5 linked regions of the Sus scrofa genome follow. The protein of the gene in region 4 purifies or fractionates together with the protein of the main gene of each other region. This does not show direct contact. Links are inferred from orthologs where the notes say so. Each region holds a gene or a part of one and is shown on either strand. Other genes may lie near its edges. The genes, in order: SF3B6, SNRPA1, SF3B4, PHF5A and SF3A3.

Region 1 (4,307 bases), on a different chromosome or scaffold from region 4:
CTTGTCAGTTGCATCATTTGCATATATTTTTTCCCAGTCTTTAGGGTTGTCTTTTCCTTTTGCTTATGGTTTCCTTTGCTGCACAAAAGCTTGTAAGTTTGAATAGGTCCCATTTGTTCATTTTTGCTTTTATTTATATTGCCTTGGGAGACTGACCTAAGAAAACATTGGTACAATTTATGTCAGACTGTTTTGCCTATATTCTCTTCTAGGAATTCTGTGGTATCAGGTCTTATATTTAAGTCTTTAAGCCATTTTGAGTCTGTTTTTGTGCATGGTGTGAGGATGTGTCCTAACTTCATTGATTTACATGCAGCTGGGCAACTTTCCCAACACCGCTTGCTGAAGAGACTTATCTTTTTTCTATTGATGATTTATCCCTAATTGCCTCCTTTGTTGAAAATTTGTTGACTGTAGATGGGTTTATTTCCAGGGTGTCTCTTCTGTCTGATTAATCTGTATGTCTGTTTTTCTTTGGCCAGACCATACTGTTTTGATTACTCTAGCTTTGTAGTAGTGTCTGAAGTCTGGGAGGCTTATGCCTTCAGCTTTGTTTTTTTCCCTCAAGATTGAAAGGCCTGGGTTGTGTAGTAACCCTTTATTAATTCCTACTAATAGTCTTCCCTAAAACCAGTGCCCAGTTGCTTTTCCAAAGAGCATGCCATTTTTATTAATATCAGATTATAATTCTTACTCTTGGCTTATAAAAATTATGTATCATTTTCATTAGAATATATTATGAGGAGTTCCCATCGTGGCGCAGTGGTTAACGAATCCGACTAGGAACCATGAGGTTGCGGGTTCGGTCCCTGCCCTTGCTCAGTGGGTTAGCGATCCGGCGTTGCCATGAGCTGTGGTGTAGGTTGCAGACGCGGCTCGGATCCCGCGTTGCTGTGGCTCTGGCATAGGCCGGTGGCTACAGCTCCGATTCAACCCCTAGCCTGGGAACCTCCATATGCCGCGGGAGCGGCCCAAGAAATAGCAACAACAACAAAAGACAAAAGACAAAAAAAAAAAGAATATATTATGAGAATTTTTTAAACGGTAGCACTCTTGTCTTTGATTATAACAGTATGTTATTTCTCATTTTAGATTCGACTTCCACCTGAAGTAAATCGGATTTTATATATAAGAAATTTGCCCTACAAAATCACAGCTGAAGAAATGTATGATATATTTGGGAAATATGGACCTATTCGTCAAATCAGAGTGTGAGTCTTACTGAGACTTTTGAAATGGCATTTAAAGAAAATGATTACATAATTTATCATCTCAGAATTAGCTGACATTGGGCCTGAGAGCCTAGAAACTAAGGGAAAAGTACCCATGGAGACCCTCATGGTCCAGCTTAATTAGAGCCAATAATAGTATTATGCAGTTATAGAGAGCATGAAGTAGTAATGAATGGTTTGAGGGGAATGGATGAGGAGAGAAAGGGCTAGCATTTATTATATGCCTACTGTTTATAAAGAGGTCCTCTGCTATGATTTTTATATGCATTAACTCTTAATTTTCTCAACGGTCTTCACTGTCTCCTTTACTGACAACAGAATTTCTGAATAAGCTGTGTAAAGGGATATAAAAGTAACTGAGAAAAATGATTTTATTTTTCAACTATGGAGGATTTAAAAGTATAAGGCAAAATAATTACACTACACAGCCATATGGTTTGGTTTGGTTTGGTTTTTTATGGCCACACCTGTGGTGTATGGAAATTCCCAGGCCAGGGATTGAATTCGAGCTGCAACTGCAGCAACACAGTTTCCTTTAACCCACTGCACCAGGCCAGGGATGGAACCTGCGCCTCCTCAACAACCCAAGCCACTGCAGTCACATCCTTAACCCACTGTACCATGGGGAGTACTCCCAAATCCATGTTTTAATTTAATCTAAAGATGGGCTTTATACCTTCAAGTGATATTTTTGGTCATCTACTGTATGTCACCTGTAGTTATAGTTGCTTTTATTTGCATCAGCAACCCTACAGCCCTGTGTGGAGGGGATATTGTGTCTGTTTCATCAAGGCCCAGAGAGTAAAAGTACCTTTTTGGCTTCAGACAGCTATTTAGTGATAATATCTTCTGATTCTAAATTGAATCTCTACACCACACAGTAACACAGCCACTGTCACTTTAACTAGTATAAATGAGCCAATTACCTAAGAGTCCATTAAAAGGATTTCTAGAGTTTTTATTTTTAGTTGGAATAATTCTTTTTTGGTCTTTTTTTGTCTTTTCTAGGGCTGCACCCATGGCATATGGAGGTTCCAATATGGAGGCTAGGGGTCCAATTGGAGCTGTAGCCACTGGCCTACACCACAGCCACAGCAACACTGGATCCGAGCCATGTCTGCAACCTACACCACAGCTCATAGCAACACCGATCCCTAACCCACTGAGCGAGGCCAGGGATTGAACCCACAACGTCATGGTTCCTAGTCGGATTCACTTCCACTGCGCCACGACGGGAACTCCCAAATGATTCTTAATAACTGTTCTTTTATGACTTGAGAGCGCATTCTTGGCTTTTAAAACTCTGTGAGACCTTGAGGACTCTCCTTTTCAATGATCACTGTCCCTCCAAAAAGTAAACCAAGAGCTAGAAATACATCATCACTGCTACTCAAACAAGAATGAAAATGAAGGAGTTCCCGTCATGGCTCAGTGGTTAACGAATCCAACTAGGAACCATGAGGTTGCGGGTTCAATCCCTGGCCTCACTCAGTGGGTTAGGGATCGGTGTTGCCGTGAGCTGTGGTATAGGTCGCAGACACGGCTCAGATCTGGCGTTGCTGTGGCTATGGTGTAGGCCAGTGGCTACAGCTCCAATTTGACCCCTAGCCTGGGAACCTCCATATGCCGTGGGTGTGGCCCTAGAAAAGACAAAAAAAAAAAAAAAAAAGAATGAAAATGAAGTTTTATAGACCAGCTGTCCTTTTTAGGAAGTCTTTTTGCCCTAAAATGAAAAAAAAAAGCAAATAATGTTAGCTTAGTGCCTAACATATAATAGGTACCAAGTACATGTTTTTAAAAATTAAAATTACAGTGTGGTTGATAATAGGTTGGTAATTAGGGGCTGGGTACTTAAGATGGAGAGTCTTTAAAATGAAGTTAGAGGGAGTTCCTGTCATGGCTCAGTGGTTAACGAATCTGACTAGTAACCATGAGGATAAGGGATAGATCCCTGGCCTCATGCAGTGGGTTAAGGATCTGGTGTTGCCCTGAGCTGTGGTGTAGGTTGAAGACTCGGCTCAGATCCCATGTGGCTGTGCCTGTGGCTTAGGCCGATGGCTACAGTTCTGATTTGACCGCTAGCCTGGGAACCTCCATATGCTGCGGGTGCAGCCCTAAAGAGACAAAAAGACAATAATAATAAATAAATAAATAATAATAATAAATAAATAAAATGAAGTTAGTGCCTACCTATTCTGCTTTCTAAGAAGATGTAAGGAAGAGATCCTTTTGTTTTGTTAGCTTCCTACAGAAAAGATATGTGAGAGGATTGATAGGAAAAAGTAGATCTCTACCCTTCAAATGCTTATTAGTATTTGCTGTAATCATAGTACTGTGGGAGTGAAATAAACTATACACTCGTGTTTGCTCTTAAGGAACTTTAAATGTTGCTAAGTTCTTTTGGTTTTGTTTTGGCCATACCCACAGCATTTGGAAGTTCCCAGGCCCGGGATTGAACCCATGCCACAGCAGCTACCCAAACTGCTGCAGTGACTCTGAATTCTTAACCAGCTATGCCACAGGGGAACTCCACAAATGTCGCCAAGTTTTTTAATGGTTTTATTCTGAAGGAAAAATTAGGTAGACTTTTTGGGAAAATCTTCGGGACAGTGTTTTTCCTTTGGGTAGTCCCCAGTTCTCATACCTAAAACATTCTTGAAAATGGTCAAAAGTCCTAAAGTTGTTAGATTATTTGCAGAGTAAGGAATTTTATAAAATTCTCCATCAGGCCTATGCTGCCTGACAGAATGAGAGTGTTCAGTGTCACTGGCACCCTCTAACCACCCAGTACCCTGTACCTATCCCATCCCCTTTTACAGGAAGCACAGGTTCTGGCTGGGGCCCAAGACTGTAGTCTCATTCTTCACCAGATCTTCCCCTTCCCATGGGCCCACTGCCTTTCCTTGACCCTGGGCAGGGACTATGGCAGTTGGTAAACCTGAGTCCTCAGTTGCAGTGGGTGGCTAGAACACAAAAAGGCAAGGGGATCCATGTTTAGCTTACTGGAACATAAGCCGATTGGGACCTCTGCCCGCTGTCCCCACTCACAAGCACATGGCCATCTGCCACCTGCAG
Region 2 (4,872 bases), on a different chromosome or scaffold from region 4:
CCCCAAAAGGCCCATTTCCTGAATTAAGAAAAAGACCAAGAAAAAGAACGAGGGGATAATTTTCTGGGTTTTCCAAGTTTTCTATAAAAGAAATGTAGTACCTTTAATTCCTCCCCCCAAATACATTCTTCCCCTGTTCAACTTACCAATTCCACAAGACTATTGTTGGTGAGAATGAGTTCTGTCAGACAGGGCAGAGCCTGATCAAGTCCCTCACCTATACGGCTGAAATAAAAACAGAAGGACTCTTAGTAAACATGCAAATTAAGTCAGCTAAAAATTTTATCTGAGCCCTTGCTCAGAGGGCTTCAGAGTGGGAAGAAACTTAAGAGATCTTTCTTCCAAGACCCTGACAGGAAAATAAGGCACAAAAAGAACTGTCTGAGGTCACACAGGTGACAGAAGTAGGATGACTTTAAAACCCACATCTCCTGAAAGATGTCCAGGGCCCTTCCTACTGCCACACTATCTTAACGAAACCAAAGACAAGAAATTCCTGTGTAAAACAGACTACTTAGTTCATCTCAGGACCTGTGTGAAGCCCAAAAACATAAGTGATTCTGCAGTCAGAGCTCAGGCACAAGATAAGCCAGTAAGCAAACCACAGTGGAATAGTTAACTCACGAGAAATAATGGGCATTTAAAAAAAAGCAACTCACTACCCAGCACTTCTATTGTGTGTGTGTGTGTGTGTGTCTGTGTGTCTTTTTAAGGCTGCACCCACAGCATATGGAGGTTCCCAGGCTAGGGGTCAAATGAAAGCCAAAGCTGCCGGCCTACACTACAGCCACAGAAATGCCAGATCCGAGCCACATCTGCTACCTATGCCGCAGCTTATGGCAATGCCAGATTCTAAAACCACCAGGCAAAGCCAGGGATTGAACCCAGATCCTCATGGATACTAGCTGGGTTCTTAACCTGCTGAGCCATAATGGGAACTCCCCAAAGCAGTAGGTTTTTAACTTAAATTAGAAATGTACCATGAATACATAAATAATACAAGATTTCTGAATAGATGCAAGTAAGACCAGACCAATACCAAATTCATCTCTGGATCTGTATGGGAAAAGTGTAGTTCATTTTCCATTTAAGAAATACGTAGGTGTAACTGGCAATACTGCAACTTCTTTATGGAACTCTGCTACATTTACTCTAGGGGAACAAAAATTACTTTCCACTAGTAGACACTTACCATATTCTATTGTTGTTCACTAACAATGTTTTCAGTCTTCTCAGCAAAGGAAAACCATCTAGTTTCCTGATTTCATTGTCAGAAAAATCAATGGCATCAAATTGGTCTAAGGTAGCACCTAGATTTTCAATGACAGGAATTTTGTACCCTGGAGAAAGGAGGGAAAAAACACACAAGGAAACATTAGCAGCATTTCATGGTAATTGGACTCAAAGCTTTCATTCAATCAGAAAGTTGTTTATCTAGCACCTATGCTGTGCCAAACACTGCCAAAGCACTGGTTGATTACAAGGGCAATAAAGATGAGAATACTCGCTAACAGTAATACTAATAGGTAGCTAACATTTCCAAGTATACTTACAAGGTGCCTTGTATTGTTCTAAGCAAGGCCCCAAAGCTAATGAAGTGGCCTAACAGGACTTTACACTGTGAGCTGCCTACTGTCAGTGTCCAAGCCTTGTCCACGTATTGTGGACAGTAATAGCTCCCAACCTTTTTTGCATTTCCACAGGTCAGATTCCCAGAACTCATTTGGATATCTTCGTATCATGACAGTTCCCACTTCTCTCACCTCCCAGAGGCCCAACCCAGAGTTGAAGGTCAATTTGTACACAATGGTAAATCACCTTGTGAACAACTCACTCAAACGCTCACTGATTTGTCTTCTAGGGGCATAATTATTGTCTTAGGTGCTAGGAGAAGAAAAGAAGTTAACCTAGGCAAGGTTAAATAAGTACACATTTCAGAGCTCTAAAGGCTCAAAGTTAAGTGCTGTACCAAAACGAGCATTCTCAACACCGGATGCACTTCAAACTCAGGCAGACATCAGCCTGTGCCAAGAGTATGAAAGCGGTGGGTTACTCTTGAGTCGAACCTATGATATTTAATTTCAACAAAACGAAAGTACTATGTCAGCAAACAAAAAAGCAAGCAGAAAGCAGGGCCCGCAGCAGTGCTGCTCCTGAGACGGTGTTCTCCCCCGTGGGGGTGGATCTCAAGCCAACACTTAACCCCGGAGAAGTCGTCCTTCACACCCTTTCTAAAGCCTCTCCTACTATGCAGACGAGTTGCCACAGGAATCTAATAGTCTGGAGGACTTCCGCCTCCCTTATAGACGCAAGACATCCGGCAGCCCTAGCGTGGCTGAAACAGTCTGCTCTTTGAAAGGTTTTGGCAAAAGGGAAATAGATCCTTGAAGCTAAGGAGGAGGAAAAGCCGGGAAAAAAAATCGCTTTTGCTCCGGACTTCACTTCCTCCGTCCCATACCCAACCTATATTCTCATGACTTCACTTTACCGTATCTCGGTCCGCACGAGGATCACAAACACGGCTCAGCACCCCAACGGCTCAGCCCACCCCGCAGGCGTGTACTTCCCCGCCCCCCAACGGCTCAGGTCACTCGGCAGGCCCGGCACCGGCCCCGCGGTCTGACCCAAGCATCGAGGCGGTCCCGGGCGGTGGGGGCTGGGCTAAGGAGAGCCTCGAAGGAGTCCAGGGTCGGCGTTTCGCCGACGACAGCGGGACTCAGCCGGGGTAGGAACCGGGACGCACGCCCCAGGCCACGTTCCCGCCCTTCGCGCACGCGGCGGGCGCAGGCCGCCGAGCGGGCGGGGAGGCCGGGCCGCCCGCCCCCGCCCGACTCACCTCGCAAGTCCAGCTCGCGGTCCCGCACGGCGTTGGTGTATTGCGCCGCCTGCTCGATCAGCTCCGCCGTCAGCTTCACCATCCTGTCGCCTCCCGCCTGCAGTGTCTCCCGCTCCTCCCGCCGCACCGACGTCCCGGCGTACCCCGCGCCCGCCGCCAGGCAGCATCAATCGCTTCCGGCGTGTGCTAACAGCGCGGCTCCCAGGCCTAATCAATCGAGGAGCCATTTCCTCCGTGATCGGCCCCGCCCCCGGGCTCGGGCACAGCTTTTGGGCTTTAGCTCCCGCGCTCTCCGCGGCGCATCTGGTTCTGAGTTCGTTCCTCTTGTGCAGCTTCGGCCTGCAGTGCCCCCGAGTCCAGATATTTGTGTCCGCAAGTTAATAAAGAGTGAAAGCCCACGAGTGGAACTTTCGCGTGCGTCAGGACACCTAGAGGTGAAAGGGAGGCAGTGACTGCTTTCACTCCGCCCATGGGATTCAGTGATGGGTCCCGGGCTTTGGCATCCGGGTGACACCATGAAGACCAAGCCTGGGTCTTCCGCACTGGTCTAGTTTGCAGTCAGGCCTGCCCTCTCTAGACAATTAGATATTCATGCTGAAGCCTGATAACACAGGAAGTGTGCAGATCTAAAGTCTGCAACATGACAAATGCCCACAGAGTGAGCACATTTGGGTGGCTGCTGCTGGGGTCCTGAAATTCGGAGACTCCTTCATTCCCCAAAGGGAACTACGAATCCGTCACCATAGATTAGTTTTGCTTACTTTTATATAAAGAGAATGATGCAATCTGTTTTTGTATCTGGTTTCTTTGGCTCTGTGTCATGCCTAAAATCCATCCAGGTTGCAGGCAGCAATGATTTGCTTACTTGCTGCTGTATAGAATTCTATTGCGTCTCTTACACCATAACAATCCATTTCGCTGTCGATGGACATTAGGTTTGTTTCCAGCTTGGGGCTAGTCTGCATAATGCTGCTATGAATTTTGTTGTACGTGGATCGCATGCACCTGTGCCTGAACTTTTCCAGGAGTGAAACTAAGGAGACAAAGTGTGTGGTATTATTGATAGGTACTGCCTGATGATAACTTCCAAGAGGCTGGAATCATTTCCACACTGTAGTGGTGTGTAAGGGTTTCCATCACTTGCCAACATTAACCTCATTTGCACTGTCAGTCTTCATAATTTTAGCAATTCTGGTGAGTACCAGTGCACTATTGCTTTCATTTGCTTTTTTCTAATAATAGTTAAGCATATTGTCCATTCTGATATTTTTTTACAAAGTGCCCATTCAAGTCTTTCTCCCATTTTTTTTCTTAGTGGGTTTTCTTTTTTCTTATTCCTTTTAAGATTTCTTTATATATTCTGAGTGTGAGCATACTATATGGCTTGCCTTTTACTCTTTTTTGGGGGGTAGTAGTTTAAACTTCCTAAATACCAAACACCTCACAGGAAGCCAAAATACTGTCCTCGTATACATCATCAAGCTGCAAAACACAAATTTTAGTACATTTTGGTCTGTTTAAGAAAACATCTTATTTCCCAAATCACCAAAATCATAATCTGGGCTGTAATTTTAATCAGAAGGATAAGAAATGTGACTGCCTCGCCTATTTTGCAAAAAAACAAAAACAATACAATCTGCCAACCCATCCTGAGCTTTCAAATGGTCCAATTAAATAAGAGACTTTGGAGGAAGAAATTCTTGGCTGAGAAGGCCCTCCCCATTGACAATGGTGTCTTTGGTCTTTTTTTGTTTGTTTGCTTTTTAGGGCTGCACTCTCAGCATATGGAAGTTCCCAGGCTGGGGGTGAATCGGAGCTACAGCTGCCAGCCTACACTGCAGCCACAGCAATGCCAGATCCATGACATGTGTGTGACCTACACCGCAGTTCATGGCAACGCTGGATCCTTAACCCACTGGCAAGGCCAGGGATCCAGCTCACATCCTCGTGGATCCTAGTCGGATTCGTTAACCGCTGAGCCATGAAGGGAACTCCCTCTTTTGGAGTTTTACTATGGTTATCTAGGTCTGGAACCT
Region 3 (3,962 bases), on a different chromosome or scaffold from region 4:
TCTCTTCTCACTATCATGAACTCTTTTTCTATTTTCTCTACAGGCATGCCTCCTCCTGGCTCTTTCCCACCCCCAGTACCGCCTCCTGGAGCCCTTCCACCTGGGATACCCCCAGCCATGCCCCCACCACCTATGCCTCCTGGGGCTGGAGGACATGGCCCTCCATCAGCAGGAACCCCAGGGGCTGGACATCCTGCACATGGACACTCACATCCTCACCCATTCCCACCGGGTGGGATGCCCCATCCAGGTGGGTTTTCTTTGCTGGGAAGGAGAGGGATTCTTTCACCAGTTATGCTGCTGTTCTCTGTCCTTCAACAATAATAGAGAGTCCCTTTCTTTAGACATTCCTTTCTTCCAGACATTTTTTTTTTTTTGTCTTTTTGCTATTTCTTGGGCCGCTCCCGCGGCATATGGAGGTTCCCAGGCTAGGGGTCGAATCGGAGCTGTAGCCACCAGCCTACGCCAGAGCCACAGCAACGCGGGATCCGAGCCACGTCTGCAACCTACACCACAGCTCACGGCAACGCCAGATCGTTAACCCACTGAGCAAGGGCAGGGATTGAACCCGCAACCTCATGGTTCCTAGTCAGATTCGTTAACCACTGCGCCACGACGGGAACTCCCAGACATTCTTTTATAGAAACAAACACAAAATACTTTAGCCTGTTTACTTTAACAACTATCAGCCTGTTTTCATTTCTTAAAGTTTTACCGAAGAGTATAACTATACTTGCTGGGTTTTGTTTTCTTAACCTTTACTTCCATTCTTTCCTCTGACTTCCACCCCAAAGCAGTCACCTACATGCCAAGTCTAGGCTGCTCCTTATCTTGTTTGATCTTTGCTATTCTTGAAACTGGCCGTGTCCTCCTGTTTGAAAATCTTGTCTTTTTTGGTTTTTATGGATTCTCTTTCTCTCTGAATCCTCAATCTCAGCCACCTTAATAGGCTCCTTTTTCTCAGCTGAGGTTTTTGTGTCTGGCTCTCTTTTTTGCACAGTCCCATTGTTTGTACACTGATGCCACCTAGATGGGTGGCTGTTCCATGGGTATTAACATTCCATACCCTTAATCTTACTGTTTAATGGATGACTACTTTTTTTTTTTTTTTTTGTCTTTTGTCTTTTTGTTGTTGTTGTTGTTGTTGTTTTTGTTGCTACTTCTTGGGCCGCTCCCGCGGCATATGGAGGTTCCCAGGCTAGGGGTTGAATCGGAGCTATAGCCACCGGCCTACGCCAGAGCCACAGCAACACGGGATCCGAGCCGCGCCTGCAACCTACACCACAGCTCACGGCAATGCCGGATCGTTAACCCACTGAGCAAGGGCAGGGACTGAACCCGCAACCTCATGGTTCCTAGTCGGATTCGTTAACCACTGCGCCACGACGGGAACTACTGGATGACTACTTTTATACCCCTGCCCTTCAACCTTATTCTTTCTCTAGTAGTCTTAGTTTTCAGGTGCTTGATTCAGAAATCTGGGAGCTATGTTTGACTCTTCCCTGTTACCCCACTCTTTTTTTTTTCTGTCTTTTGTCTTTTTAGGGCCGCACCTGCGGCATATGGAAGTTCCCAGGCTAGGGGTCTAATTGGAGTTGTAGCTGCCAGCCTACGTACGCCACAGCTGCACCAACACCAGATCTGAGCCGCATCTGTGACCTACACCACAGCTCATGGCATCACCGGATCCTTAACCCACTGAGCAAGGCCAAGGATCGAACGCACAACCTTACGCACCATGACAGGAACTCCACCCCACTCTTAATACCAAGTCTTATTAATACCTCTGCCATCAGCCCTCATTGTCAGTGCCCTAGTTCAGGCTCTCATATCCTCATTATTCCACACCTAATTTATTGTAGTAATTTTCTGACACTTTGACTCTAATTATCTCTACCTTCGATCGACTTTCAGTGAGTAATTTTTCTAAAATATAGATGTTCACACACCCTTGCTCAAAATTCTTTTGCTCCCTTTTACCTATCGAGTAAAGGCCAAACTTGTTAGCATAGCAGTTCTAGGTTTGTCATGATCTGGCTCCTCATTGTTCCCACAACTGCATTCTCCTGATTACCGACTTACTGGTTTTCCTATAACATACTGTGCTTTTGGACGTACTTGTGCTTTGCACGTGCTAATCATTTTGCCTAGAATGTTCTGTTCCCACTTGTTGTCCCCCTGAAAAATTCCTCTTTATCCTTCAGAATTGGATCTTGGTTCAGGCAGTATCTCTGTTACCTTCTCAAATCCTATTCAATAGCATAATCGTTCCATTTGTTACATACTTCTGCAGCACTTGTACAGTGCCTAAATCATGGAAGGAGCCAGCTGGGTGGTTGGGAATTGATTGGATCATAGGTTGGTTGGTTCTCTTGCTTGGAGTCAAGGATAAGGGCACTTTTTACCAGCCTTATTTTCCTTACTCTTTTCTTTCTCATTTTCTTTGCCCCCTTGTCTGATTTTCTTTTGTCTCCTTTGTGTTTGTGTCTGTTTTGTTCTCATAGGGATGTCTCAGATGCAGCTGGCCCACCATGGCCCTCATGGCTTAGGACACCCCCATGCTGGGCCCCCTGGCTCTGGAGGGCAGCCACCACCTCGACCACCACCTGGAATGCCTCATCCTGGACCTCCTCCAATGGGCATGCCCCCTCGAGGGCCTCCATTTGGATCGCCCATGGGTGAGTAGGTTCTGGCCACCTCTCTTGTCCTCATGTGTCATATTCTTGCAGCTTCTTTAGTCACACCTCTTATCCCCTGTGTGTTCTTTCTTTTCATTCTTGTATTTCTTTTCACTGTTTGCTTGTCTCTCCTCTTCCTTCACTGTCCCAATGTTTTGTCCTATTTGTCCCAATTATCTCCTAATTGTTTTTACTAAGTTCGTTCTTTTCCTGCAGGTCACCCTGGTCCTATGCCACCACATGGTATGCGCGGACCTCCCCCACTGATGCCCCCTCATGGATACACTGGCCCTCCACGACCTCCACCATATGGCTACCAGCGAGGACCCCTCCCTCCACCCAGACCCACTCCCCGGCCTCCAGTTCCCCCTCGAGGCCCACTTCGAGGCCCTCTTCCTCAGTGATTTCTCACTGTCTTTGCTCCTGTTATGTCCTCCCAATATCTTTTCACTTCCTTGGACCAATCAGAGTTGCTGTAGCTCGCAGGGGCTAGGGCACTAATCCCTCTCAGGCCTTTTTTGTAAGTGTAATTTTTTTTCCACAGGAGGTTTTTTTTCCCCCTCTATGTTGGTCCGAAGTGCTTTGCAAATGCACAGAGAAAATAAAACTTAACTCCTTGTTTATTCTTTGTGGTGTTTTCCTTGGCAAAACAACTTCTTTTTCTCTAATAAGAGGTGTCAGTCTAATAGGGAAAGACTGGTAAGGTCAGAATAAGGGTGTTTACTCCATGGTTTAAAGGCTTATTCTGGGAGTTCCCATTGTGGCTCAGCAGGTTAAGGATCTGACATTGTCTCTGTGAGGGTGTGGGGTCTATTCTTGGCCTCACTCAGTGGGTTAAGGATCCAGCATTACTAAGCTGTGGCGAAGGTCGCAGAGGTGGCTCAGATCTGGTGGTGTCATGGCTGTGACATAAACCCCAGCTGCAGCTCTAATTCGACCCCTGGCCTGGGAACTTAAGCATGCCGCAGGTATAGCTGTAAAAATAAAATTAAATAAGTAAATAAATACAGACTTATTCTGTAATGTGCTGTGGTGGTTGCTGGACTGCTGTGTACTACAGCAGTTATTTCTTTACATTAAACTTACCCATAAGATGAAGACCCAATATCTGTGATAAAGGATTATTGTGATTATTGTGACTATTAAGTGAGAACAGAATTAAAGTTCCTGAGGTAATGCTGGCAAAAATATGAAGTAACATGCACAAAGCTATTCATTGCAGCACTCTTTGTAATAGTAGCTTGAAAACAACCCACTTATCCATCAGTAAGGATCTGGTTGAAT
Region 4 (4,864 bases):
GACTTTAAATAAGTACCAAACACCTACTATGTACCAGACACCCTGTAGGGGGAACGCTTACGGATGACTTACAGGGGTAGCGACAAAAATGTGGACCATACTACAATACACGCAGGGATTATACTTTGAACTGAGGAAAAGGGGAGACAAACACAAAAACCAAGCTTCTTTCTGTAAAGGGAGTGTAATCTACCTGGTGGATCAGATCAAACAGGTATGATATGACAATCAAAAGTAAACACAAATCAGAGTTTAGGACAGGAGAATGTTCACATCACCAAGGGAAAATTTGTCTTTGGTACTTTATGATCTTTCTCATCTCCCTAAATAAGAGAAGACTTAATGGTGTAAAAAAAAAGTTTTATTTGGTGTGACATGTCCCACTTATTAAAGGTAGACAGGATCCAAATGTAAAGATTGCTGAGTTGCTTCTCGTCAACCAGGCACATCCCACCAAAAGGACCATAAGGTGTATTGCAGCTATCACCAGGTTTAGACAGACAGCCGGGGCTTGCCCCTTATTAGCTGCAGGACAGACTGTAAAAGGGGGATAGTAATAATCCCTATTTAACAAAGTTACTGTGAAGAATATGGAAGATAATACCCACATAGAAACTACCTATTCTTTGCACAAGGAAAAATTAAGAAATATTTTATCTCATGCCTTATCCTAGATTAGGTAACCAGATACCTTATAATAAATAGTCTACTGGTACTATATCACATTTCCTTTTATTTATTGTGTCATATGAATAAAAGCTGATTAACCTCCCCTACCCCAAGCCTGCTTTTGGAATAGATCTACAAGCCCTCTATCCTGGCTCAAAGAGTTGAATAAATAGCCACTGGCACCGGAGTTCCCGTCGTGGTGCAGTGGTTAACGAATCTGACTAGGAACCATGAGGATGCGGGTTCGATCCCTGCCCTTGCTCAGTGGGTTAAGGATCCGGCGTTGCCACGAGCTGTGGTGTAGGTTGCAGAGGCGGCTCGGATCCTGCGTTGCTGTGGCTCTGGCGTAGGCCAGTGGCTACAGCTCCGATTTGACCCCTAGCCTGGGAACTTCCATATGCCACGGGAGCGGCACAAAGAAATAGCAAAAAAAAAAAAAAAAAAAAGCCACTGGCACCAAAAAAATGTCAAGGGGCAAAAATGCCATGAGCAAGAATTACAATCAATTCTGCAAAATCAACCAAAGGCACTCTCTAGCCACTCAGAGCTGAAATGAACTTGAACTGTCCCAAATTCAAAAGTCATCACATCCACCCTAACGTTCCTTAATGGTAGCACAAATTAGTGACTTCTGCACATCATGCACTGTGGTATGATTTAAAAATGCAGCATAGTTTCTGGGGGGAAAAAAAAAAAGAGAGAGAAAGTTCCTTTGTGGTGCAGTAGGTTAAGGATCTGGCATTGCCGTAGCTGTGGCACAGGCCACAACAGCAGCATGGTTCATCCCTGGCCTGGGAGCGTCCACATGTGGACACAGCCAAAAAAAAAAAAAAAGAGAGAGAGAAAGACATCAAATTGCCAGTGTTGACAAAAATTTGCTTTTCTCGCCTTTGTGTACTTGATGCAAAATAACTACCTTTTGTTGGAGTACACCCAGTTTGGTTTACAGAACTTGAAAATTATAACCTAGGTGACTGGCTGAACAGCCATCTCCTGACCATAGGAGTCTGCTGTGGATGGCCAAGTGTTCCTAAACGAAAGGAAAGATCAGAGGAAAAGCTTAGTATACACTCACATCCTTCTCCTGGATGGTGCACTCCTTACAATAATAGGCATCTGAAACTCCCGGGCCTCCGCAGATCACACAGCGCCCCTGGTAAGAGCCATAGTTACACTCGTCACATATGCGCACCAGGGTGCAGGGACGCACGTAGGAGTCACAGATCACACACTTGCCATCACCTGTAAGGAAAAGAGGTTGAATTACGCCCACTTGCAAGTACCTCAGGTCCTCTTCCTGCTATGGGTAAAAACACTATGTCCTTCTGACAGTGACTTTAGCCCTCTATTTTGGCATTATAAAATTGGTTTACCTAGCGTCCATTTCTCAATCTCCCCAACACATAGGAAAGCTAATCAATTAATATAAAGGGCTTAGAATAGCAGTCGGTAGATAAGTCTATATAATTGACTGGCAGAATGCTGTGTGTGTTGGGGGCAGGGTCATGCTACTTCTGGTCCAAAGCTAGAGGTTTTGTCAAAACCTAAATACAGTGCCTAAAATGTACAAGTTGGAGCGGGAAGGTGGCCTTTAGTTGCAGTCTGGCTTTGTATTAACATGCTTCCAATCATGTCTATCCAAAGCCCTCTTCGTGGCACCGCTGAAAATGTCCGTTGCTGCCACTATAGAAGCTGAGTGGGAGGGGTGGGCTGTTTGGAGAAGCGTGTTCCACTCACATTTTTCACACAGTCTTCCAATGGCTGCAAGATCAAAGGTGATAAAGAGTACAATTAGGATTAAGGTTTAGAAGAGGGGACAAAAGCCTCGAGCTTGAGTTGGGGACAGGTACAGGGTCTGCAGTGAGCCCTGAGAGGTCTTAACCATCGTATTCTCATAAACTTCAATCCGAACCAAATCCGCACCCTCGTAAGACCTCCCAGGTCCTGGGAAAACTGAGAATTTCTCTATCTCCGCAGCCCCTCTCCAGCTCTCAGCACGCGCGCCCCCGCCCCCCTTTCATCTGAGCCCACAAACCCACGCGCTCCTACACTACCGGCGGCGAGGCGGGAAACGGGGCGCCTCCGAAGCAACACCCTAAAGGAGTAATGGGAACCCCGGACTCTTAAGGTCCTAATACCATCCCCACCCAAACAGCCGGGGGCAGAAGACCGTCTCACCAACACCAGCCTGCTTGCGGCAAAAAATCAAGTCCGGGTGATGCTTAGCCATCGCTCGCGCTCAAACCACCGGAAGCTTAGGGAGCTTCCGCCAGACCTTTAACCCTGATTGTTCCTGCCTCCTCGTCGCCCTGATTGGTTCTCTAGGCGTCCATCAGCGTTTGCAATCTTTGCACCAAGCCCCGCTCATTCTCGCGTGATCAAAGCACTTAAATTCCGAAGACGAATTCCCGTTGGCAGTGGGGGAGTCAGGTCTTGGTAGGGGTGTGCGGGTCATTTAGGGAAAAAAAAAAAAAAAAACTTTCCCAGATTTGAATGGGAGGGACAAGTTGCAGAGCGCAAAGACGAAATTTGCACTTTGATATCTTTGTGCCGGGTATTTACTACCCCAACTTTTTAGGCAGCTCTCTCCCAATTCCCAGGTTGACTCTGGAGCTCCGCCCACGTCGCTCGCGGGAACGCCTTCAGCGTGACGCGTTTCTCCTCAGGTCACGCCCCTCACCGAAGGCCTTAAATAAGCCGCGTGTCACGTCACTTTCAAGCGACCTCATCTTTGTCAGTGCACAAAATGGCGCCTTACAGCCTACTGGTGACCCGGCTGCAGGTGAGCGAACCGAGAGCCCTCTAGGTTTACGGGGGCGGGGTACCTCTTTTGCGCTTGCGGCTATGGGCAAGGCAAGGCGAGGCGGGCCTGACCTCCGGCCGACTTTTCGCGTACCTGTCCCTTGCGCGGGCCCAGCGCAAATACCCGCTCCTCTGGCGCCCGAGGTCAGGGCGTCCCCGGCTCAGTCAGCTCTCAGCCCTGTCCCCGCCCCGCTGGAAGCAAGGGCCTAAGAAGCGGCGGCCGGGTGAAGAGTGGAGGCACGTCTTTCTCATTTTTGAGGACCGCAGTTTCTTCCCCCGTAAGGCTTTTTTTTTTTTTTTTTTTTTTCCTCCCCCGTTCCTCAAGGTGAGGACAAGGTGACTGGGGGGCGCGGTGGTTGGTAAGCGCGCTAGGCCCAGAGCCTGAAGGCCTCACTTTTCATCTCAGTAGCACAGAGTTGCTAGCCAGGTGCATCTACGGTTGCCAAACATGGAGTCTGTAGGGGGGGAAAAAAAAAAAACTATGACCTATTCCATCTTGTGGGGATCCTGCGGAACATGTACCCAAGAATTCGAGGGGGTGGGTTCCGTGCCCAGATGTAGCAAATAGTAATGATGACAGTAGTCTCTCAGCTTTGCACAAGATTGCAAGACTTAATTCCTCACCACATCGTTTGATTCATATCATCATTTCTGGAGATGATTATTTTTATTTGATAGGTGATGACGCTGTTAGAAAACAGGTAAAAGTTCTGCTCTCTGAGTCTTACCAAAGTGCTGTGGCCTGAGCATCTGCCCTACTACTCCCCATTCTCCTTGTCCCTTTCAGCCTGCCCTCACAGAACTTTTTGAGCCAGAGTGTGGTCCTGGAGCTGACATTTGTATTTGTGGGAGTTCCAGAATGGCGTATTTTGAGCTCACAATCAGTTGCTTTTCAGTTACTAGATGGGGAGGGTAAAAGAGACTCAACAGTTTGACCTTGACTGTCCTCTTTTGAACCATCTAGAAGATTGACTGACTGCCATTTCTTTTTTTTTCACTCCTGACTTGACAACCCTAGGAAGATGTTACACTCAAAGGTTCAATGTCAAGAACGTATTTCGTTAATAAAAAATCAAGCAAGCATTCTCCGACAACCTTTTACATTTAAATTTGTGAATCTACATTGGATCAAGTAGCACAACTATTATTGCAGAATTTAAAAAGAAGTAGTGTACTGTACTCTCAGAAAGTATTGTGTTGTCAGAAGTTTTTTTTTTTTTTTTTAAAGTTACATTGCTAAAATTTAAACCATATGGTTTAAAGGGAAATCATTTATCTTAAAATACTTAGGGTCTCTCAATTCTGGGCAAAGACAAGGATTTGTCCAAATTTTCTCTTAGATTTTTTTGTTTCTCCAAGTTAACAATGTGGAAGTAGTTGTTTCTTGCTGATC
Region 5 (5,001 bases), on a different chromosome or scaffold from region 4:
AAGCCTCTTTGTGCCAGTTGGATCATCTGGGCAGCGGATTTCAAGACAGAGTTAAGAGCATAAGCAGTTTTTTGGGGGTTATTACCCATGAAAGACAAAAAGGAGAGCAGGACTGGGCGGGGAGATCCTAGACCATGATGCAGACAGCTACCCTCTGATTCAGCACAATGGGGAGCTCTGGAGCAAATATTCCTCATTAGAAGAGTCTCACGTTGGGCAGAAATAACCAGGCCATGGTACCTGCCTCTGTGCTCGGTCTCTGGCTGGGGACTGCCTAAGAAGAGAATGGCCTTAGCTTAAACCTAGGGAGAATCTGAAAGCACTGGAGTTGTAGTATGTCAGCTAGTTATGCTCCCTGCAGTTAAATGGCACGTTCTTTTTTGAAGGGACACATGAGTGGCACAAGTCTCTTTTCCTCCTATCTTTCTCTTTAGTATGCTCTTTGGACAGGTTTGGGGAAAATACTTCCCAAGGTCATACCTCGTTTGGGTGTTTCCGGTGGAATTCCTTTATCTGCTTGAGTCTATTATAGAATTCAGCAAACTCGTTGGGTCCTGAAATGGCATTGAGCTCCTCCTTCCGTAACCTGCAATTTCAGAAAAAATCCATAGAACATGGAACACAAAATCAGTCCTCTAGTGACAGCTCCTCAGGAGGAATAATTTCTGGATTGGCTGACTGTCACTTACCCATCCTTATCATCATACAAATCCCTCAGGTTCCCACTGACTTCCATATACCTCTGAAAGGCAAACACAAACCCATCAGAATGAAGCAATCTGTACAATTTAGACCCAAGCAACCAAAAAGGGCTTTCTAGTCAAAGCCCAAGGAAACCTTAAGAGATGTGCTTTAAAAGTTCTTGTCAGGAAAAAAAAAAAAAAAAAAGTTCTTGTCAGGAGTTCCTGTTGTGGCTTAATGGAAACGAATCTGACTAGCATCCATGAGGATGCAGGTTCGATCCCTGGCCTCGCTCAGTGGGTCAAGGATCCAGTGTTGCCGTGAGCTGTGATTAGGTGGAAGACGCGGCTTAGATCGGGTATTGCTGTGGCTGTGGCATAGGCCAGTGGCTACAGCTCCAATTCGACCCCTAGCCTGAGAATCTCCATATGCCATAGGTGCGGCTCCCCCCAAAAAAGAAAAGTTCTTGTGCTTTCTGGGATCTATAATACACAGCATTGGTTCCTAGTCAGTTTTTCAAACAGGTTATTTTGAAGATTACCTAAGTGATGTGATTTGAGGGGTGGCAGAGTTCCCATATTTAACTCTCCCTAGAAGATCTAAAAGTGAACCATATAAGGAAGTCACTCTGATACAAAGCAGTTCCCACCTAAGACCCTCAAAGATAAACGGATAGTCAAAGATGTTTTCCATTATTTCAAAAAGCTTGTCTGAGGAGTTCCTGTCATGGCTCAGCGGAAAAATAATCTGACTAGGATCCATGTGGATGCAGGTTCGATCCCTGGCCTCAATCAGTGGGTTAAGGATCGGGCGTTGCCGTGAGCTGTGGTGTAGGTCACAGACATAGCTCGAATCTGGTGTGGCTGTGGCTGTGGTAATGGCTGGCGGCTACAGCTCCGATGTGAGCCCTAGCCTGGGAACCACCATGTGCCGCGTGTGTGGCCCTAAAAAGACAAAAAAAAAAAAAAAAAAAAAAAAAAAAAGCTTAACTGAGGAGTGCACATGCTAAATAAAACATCACACAGTCTCCTCCAGATTCAAACTCAGGATGGAACAAGTACACAGTCTCTTCTCCAAAGCTTTCAGGACCAGATTTGTTTCAGAATTTGAAGTTTTTAATTTCAGGAAGGCACTATATATAATATACCTAGTGGAATCTGGAACACACATTAATAGTTCTGCAGTGAAATTTATGCACTATTTATTCAATGGGATAAAGACAATAAAAAGGTCTCTCATCTGTTCATATCAAGTCAGATTTTTGCCACCAAGTAATTAAAAGAACAAATAACCTTTTGTTTTTGGAGTACTTTGCTTTTGGGAATTTAGCTAAGGGACTAGGGCTTATAATATTAATTATGTCCTCCAAACTAGAAATTCTGATTAGATCTTTTTTCCCTTTCTAAATAGGTTTCAAACACGCAAAAACAGAGCTAGAAAGCACAGTATAATGAACCTCCACTTACCTACCACTCAGTTTTAATACGTACCAACATTTTAGTTTTGACTCTTTCTAAAAAAAAATGGAACTATTACTAGAAAAATGCAGCCTGGTAAGCAAAAAATATTTCAATACAGTGTTCTGAGAGGAAAACACTAATACACAGCATTCTCTTTGGGGGAGAAGGCAGAGTACCGTCTGAGTTTGAATCACTATAACTACTCTTTGGTCATCCACTGGACAGAGGAGGCTTTAAAGAGGCATCTTCCCCGGTAATGAATAATGAATGAGTTTCCCATTCAAAGAAGTGAGCAAGGGCAGTTAAGCACCCTCAGGTTTGGCAGCGTGTGGACATTTGGCAGGCATACAAACCCTCGACTGGCCAATCTGGTTACCTGTGGCCAGGGCTCCTGTTGACACCCGTGTCCCCCCTCCTCCCTCTTCCAGTCCATCACGACCCAAAGAGAAGCGAACAGCAGGGCACTCACATCTTGCATGGCCCGTGTGCGGTGGTCAGAATTGATCTGGTCCCGGAGCTGAAGAAAGGCAAACGGTGACAAGGACGCCGTTAGTCGTTGTTCTGGAGTTAGGACGGGCGCCCGAGGGCGGAGCTTACCCGCTCAGGTCTTAGCGGCCCAAGCCGAGAGGCCTCTGGGCGCAGGGCCCGGGGAGAATGTTACCAAGGCGAGAGTTTCGGGAGCGAGTCCGGGGAGGGGGCGGGCGCGGAGCAGGTCTGGGGCTCTCTGAGGTTAAACACGGGCAAGGGGCCCAGTTTCAGGGGTACCCCTGCCCAGGCCCCACTCACCGTGGACTTCTTGGTGAGCATCTCTTTAGCCATGACGTCCATAAGCCGTTCCTTCTCCTCATGATAGCGCCGCTGTTGCTCCAGAATCGTCTCCATCGTCCCTCCTCCCGAGCCGCAAGGCGGACCACCGAAACGGCCGGAAACGACTTCTGCCGCCTTGCGCGCCCGCGTCGCCGAGCCGCGCGTCCGGCTGCACCAAAGTTCCGCGGCTGCCGGAAGTGCTTCGAAGACTCGACGAAAAGTGAGCACCGCGGGAGACCCAATCAGTGCTCGGGACACGGCTGCAGTGCCCCCTGCTGGCCGGGGGTGTGTTGCGCGATGCCCAACGGTTTCCAGGTGCCTCTAGGGGGCAGGCAGATATCCACCAACACCCTGGCTTCAAGGGATCTGACCTGGTTTTCCGGGGCCTCCTGAGGCCGAGAGGGTAGGAAACTGGATGAGTGGTTGAAGCGTATGGATGGGAGTAGGGAACCGGAACTTGAGTCTCCAGCTCTTTGTGTGACCTTTGACAAAGTTTTTCTCTTCTCGGGACCTCCGTGTCCTTGTCAGTAAAATGGGGATGAGAGCAGGGTTTTTTTTCTTTTTTTCTTTTTTTTTTTGCTTTTTAGGGCCGCACTTGCAGCATATGGAGGGTTCCAGGCTAGGGGTCCAATCAGAGCTACAGCTGCCGGCCTACACCTTAGCCACAGCAACGCAGGATCCCAGATGCTTCTGCGACCTATACCACAGCTCACCACAACGCCAGATCCTTAACCCACTGAAAAACGCCAGGGATTGAACCCACTACCTCATGGTTCTTAGGTGGATTCGTTTCCACTGCGCCACGACGGGAACTCCTCCTTTCCTTTTCTTTGCCTTCCTTCCTTTTTCTTTCTTTCTGCATATGTGGAAGCATCCTAATTGTCGATCAGCAGGGGGCTGGTTAAATAAAATATGGTACATCCAAGAAGCAAAATGCTATTCGGCTTTAAAAAAAAAAAAAGTGAAGCAAGTCCATATGTCCACTTCTAGGTAGAGAAATGAAAACAAGTCCATATGTTCAGATGTTCATAGCAGTGATATTCATTATAGACAGAAACAGGATGCAACTCACAAATCCATTAACTGGTAAATGGGCAAACCAAATGTGATGTGTCCATATAATGGAATATTATTCAGCAATAAAGGAATGCTGAGATATGGACGAACCATGAAAACATCACACTAAGTGAAAGAAGCCAGACACAAAAAGTGACATAGCTTATGTCCAGATGGCATATCTATACACAGTAAACGAGTGGTTTCCTGCTGCTGGAGGTGAGACAGGAAGCAACTGCAAAAGACACAGGAAATCTTTTGGGGGATGATAAAAATGTTCTAAAATTGGATTGTGGTGATAGTTGCACAGCTGTGATAAATTTCCTAAAATTAATTGAATTGTACACTTAACTTGGGTGAATTTTATGGTATGTAACTTCTACCTCAGTAGAAGCTGTTTAAAAATTCTGTTGGGGGAGTTCCTGTTGTGGAGCAGCAGAAACAATTCTGACTAGTATCCATAAGGATGTGGGTTTGATCCCTGGCCTCACTCAGTGGGTCTGGGATCTGGTGGTGCTGTGAGCTGTGGCGTAGATTGCAGATGCAGCTCAGATACAACCCCTAGCCTGGGAACTTCCATACAGTGCGGGCCCTAAAAAGCAAAAAAAAAAAAAAAAAAAAATCTGTGTGAACTCAGATGGAAAGATGGTCACGAAAAATGAAAAAACCTAGAGGAGTTCCCGTCGTGGCCCAGTGGAAACGAATCTGGCTAGGAACCAGGAGGTTGTGGGATTTGATCCCTGGCCTCATTCAGTGGACTAGGGATCCGGCGTTGCCGTGAGCTATGGTGTAGTCACAGACGCAGCTTGGATCCCAAGTTGCCATGGCTCTGGTGTAGGCCAAGGCTACAGCTCCTTCTGGACCCCTGGCCCGGGGACCTCCATATGCCGAGGGTATGGCTCTAAAACGCAAAAGAAAAACAAAAACATTAATAACTAAAAAATGAAAATACATAGGTGTACATGCCTGCTTAATAAAAAAGAACTAGGGGGTTATA

What was found.
Region 1: the proteins of PHF5A (region 4) and SF3B6 purify together in Homo sapiens (affinity purification with mass spectrometry; 4 studies listed by BioGRID and IntAct, with this or other methods). This does not show direct contact. The link is inferred for Sus scrofa from reciprocal best matches to the Homo sapiens genes PHF5A and SF3B6.
Region 2: the proteins of PHF5A (region 4) and SNRPA1 purify together in Homo sapiens (affinity purification with mass spectrometry; 4 studies listed by BioGRID and IntAct, with this or other methods). This does not show direct contact. The link is inferred for Sus scrofa from reciprocal best matches to the Homo sapiens genes PHF5A and SNRPA1.
Region 3: the proteins of PHF5A (region 4) and SF3B4 purify together in Homo sapiens (affinity purification with mass spectrometry; 6 studies listed by BioGRID and IntAct, with this or other methods). This does not show direct contact. The link is inferred for Sus scrofa from reciprocal best matches to the Homo sapiens genes PHF5A and SF3B4.
Region 5: the proteins of PHF5A (region 4) and SF3A3 purify together in Homo sapiens (affinity purification with mass spectrometry; 3 studies listed by BioGRID and IntAct, with this or other methods). This does not show direct contact. The link is inferred for Sus scrofa from reciprocal best matches to the Homo sapiens genes PHF5A and SF3A3.

The regions. Positions count from the first base shown.
Region 1 is NC_010445.4:114,611,991-114,616,297, forward strand, and holds part of SF3B6 (splicing factor 3B subunit 6), read left to right. Parts: intron 1-1,092; coding exon 1,093-1,211; intron 1,212-4,307.
Region 2 is NC_010443.5:145,705,517-145,710,388, reverse strand, and holds the start of SNRPA1 (U2 small nuclear ribonucleoprotein A'), read right to left. Parts: upstream 2,997-4,872; 5' UTR 2,919-2,996; coding exon 2,837-2,918; intron 1,341-2,836; coding exon 1,193-1,340; intron 226-1,192; coding exon 147-225; intron 1-146. UniProt on the Homo sapiens protein: Involved in pre-mRNA splicing as component of the spliceosome. Associated with sn-RNP U2, where it contributes to the binding of stem loop IV of U2 snRNA.
Region 3 is NC_010446.5:99,125,918-99,129,879, forward strand, and holds the end of SF3B4 (splicing factor 3B subunit 4), read left to right. Parts: intron 1-43; coding exon 44-250; intron 251-2,504; coding exon 2,505-2,678; intron 2,679-2,894; coding exon 2,895-3,082; 3' UTR 3,083-3,301; downstream 3,302-3,962. UniProt on the Homo sapiens protein: Component of the 17S U2 SnRNP complex of the spliceosome, a large ribonucleoprotein complex that removes introns from transcribed pre-mRNAs.
Region 4 is NC_010447.5:7,069,546-7,074,409, reverse strand, and holds the start of PHF5A (PHD finger-like domain-containing protein 5A), read right to left. Parts: upstream 3,266-4,864; 5' UTR 2,900-3,265; coding exon 2,848-2,899; intron 2,431-2,847; coding exon 2,407-2,430; intron 1,912-2,406; coding exon 1,745-1,911; intron 538-1,744; coding exon of another isoform or gene 493-537; exon of another isoform or gene 340-492; intron 1-339.
Region 5 is NC_010448.4:93,973,136-93,978,136, forward strand, and holds the start of SF3A3 (splicing factor 3A subunit 3), read right to left. Parts: upstream 3,190-5,001; 5' UTR 3,024-3,189; coding exon 2,928-3,023; intron 2,659-2,927; coding exon 2,611-2,658; intron 743-2,610; coding exon 690-742; intron 587-689; coding exon 481-586; intron 1-480. UniProt on the Homo sapiens protein: Component of the 17S U2 SnRNP complex of the spliceosome, a large ribonucleoprotein complex that removes introns from transcribed pre-mRNAs.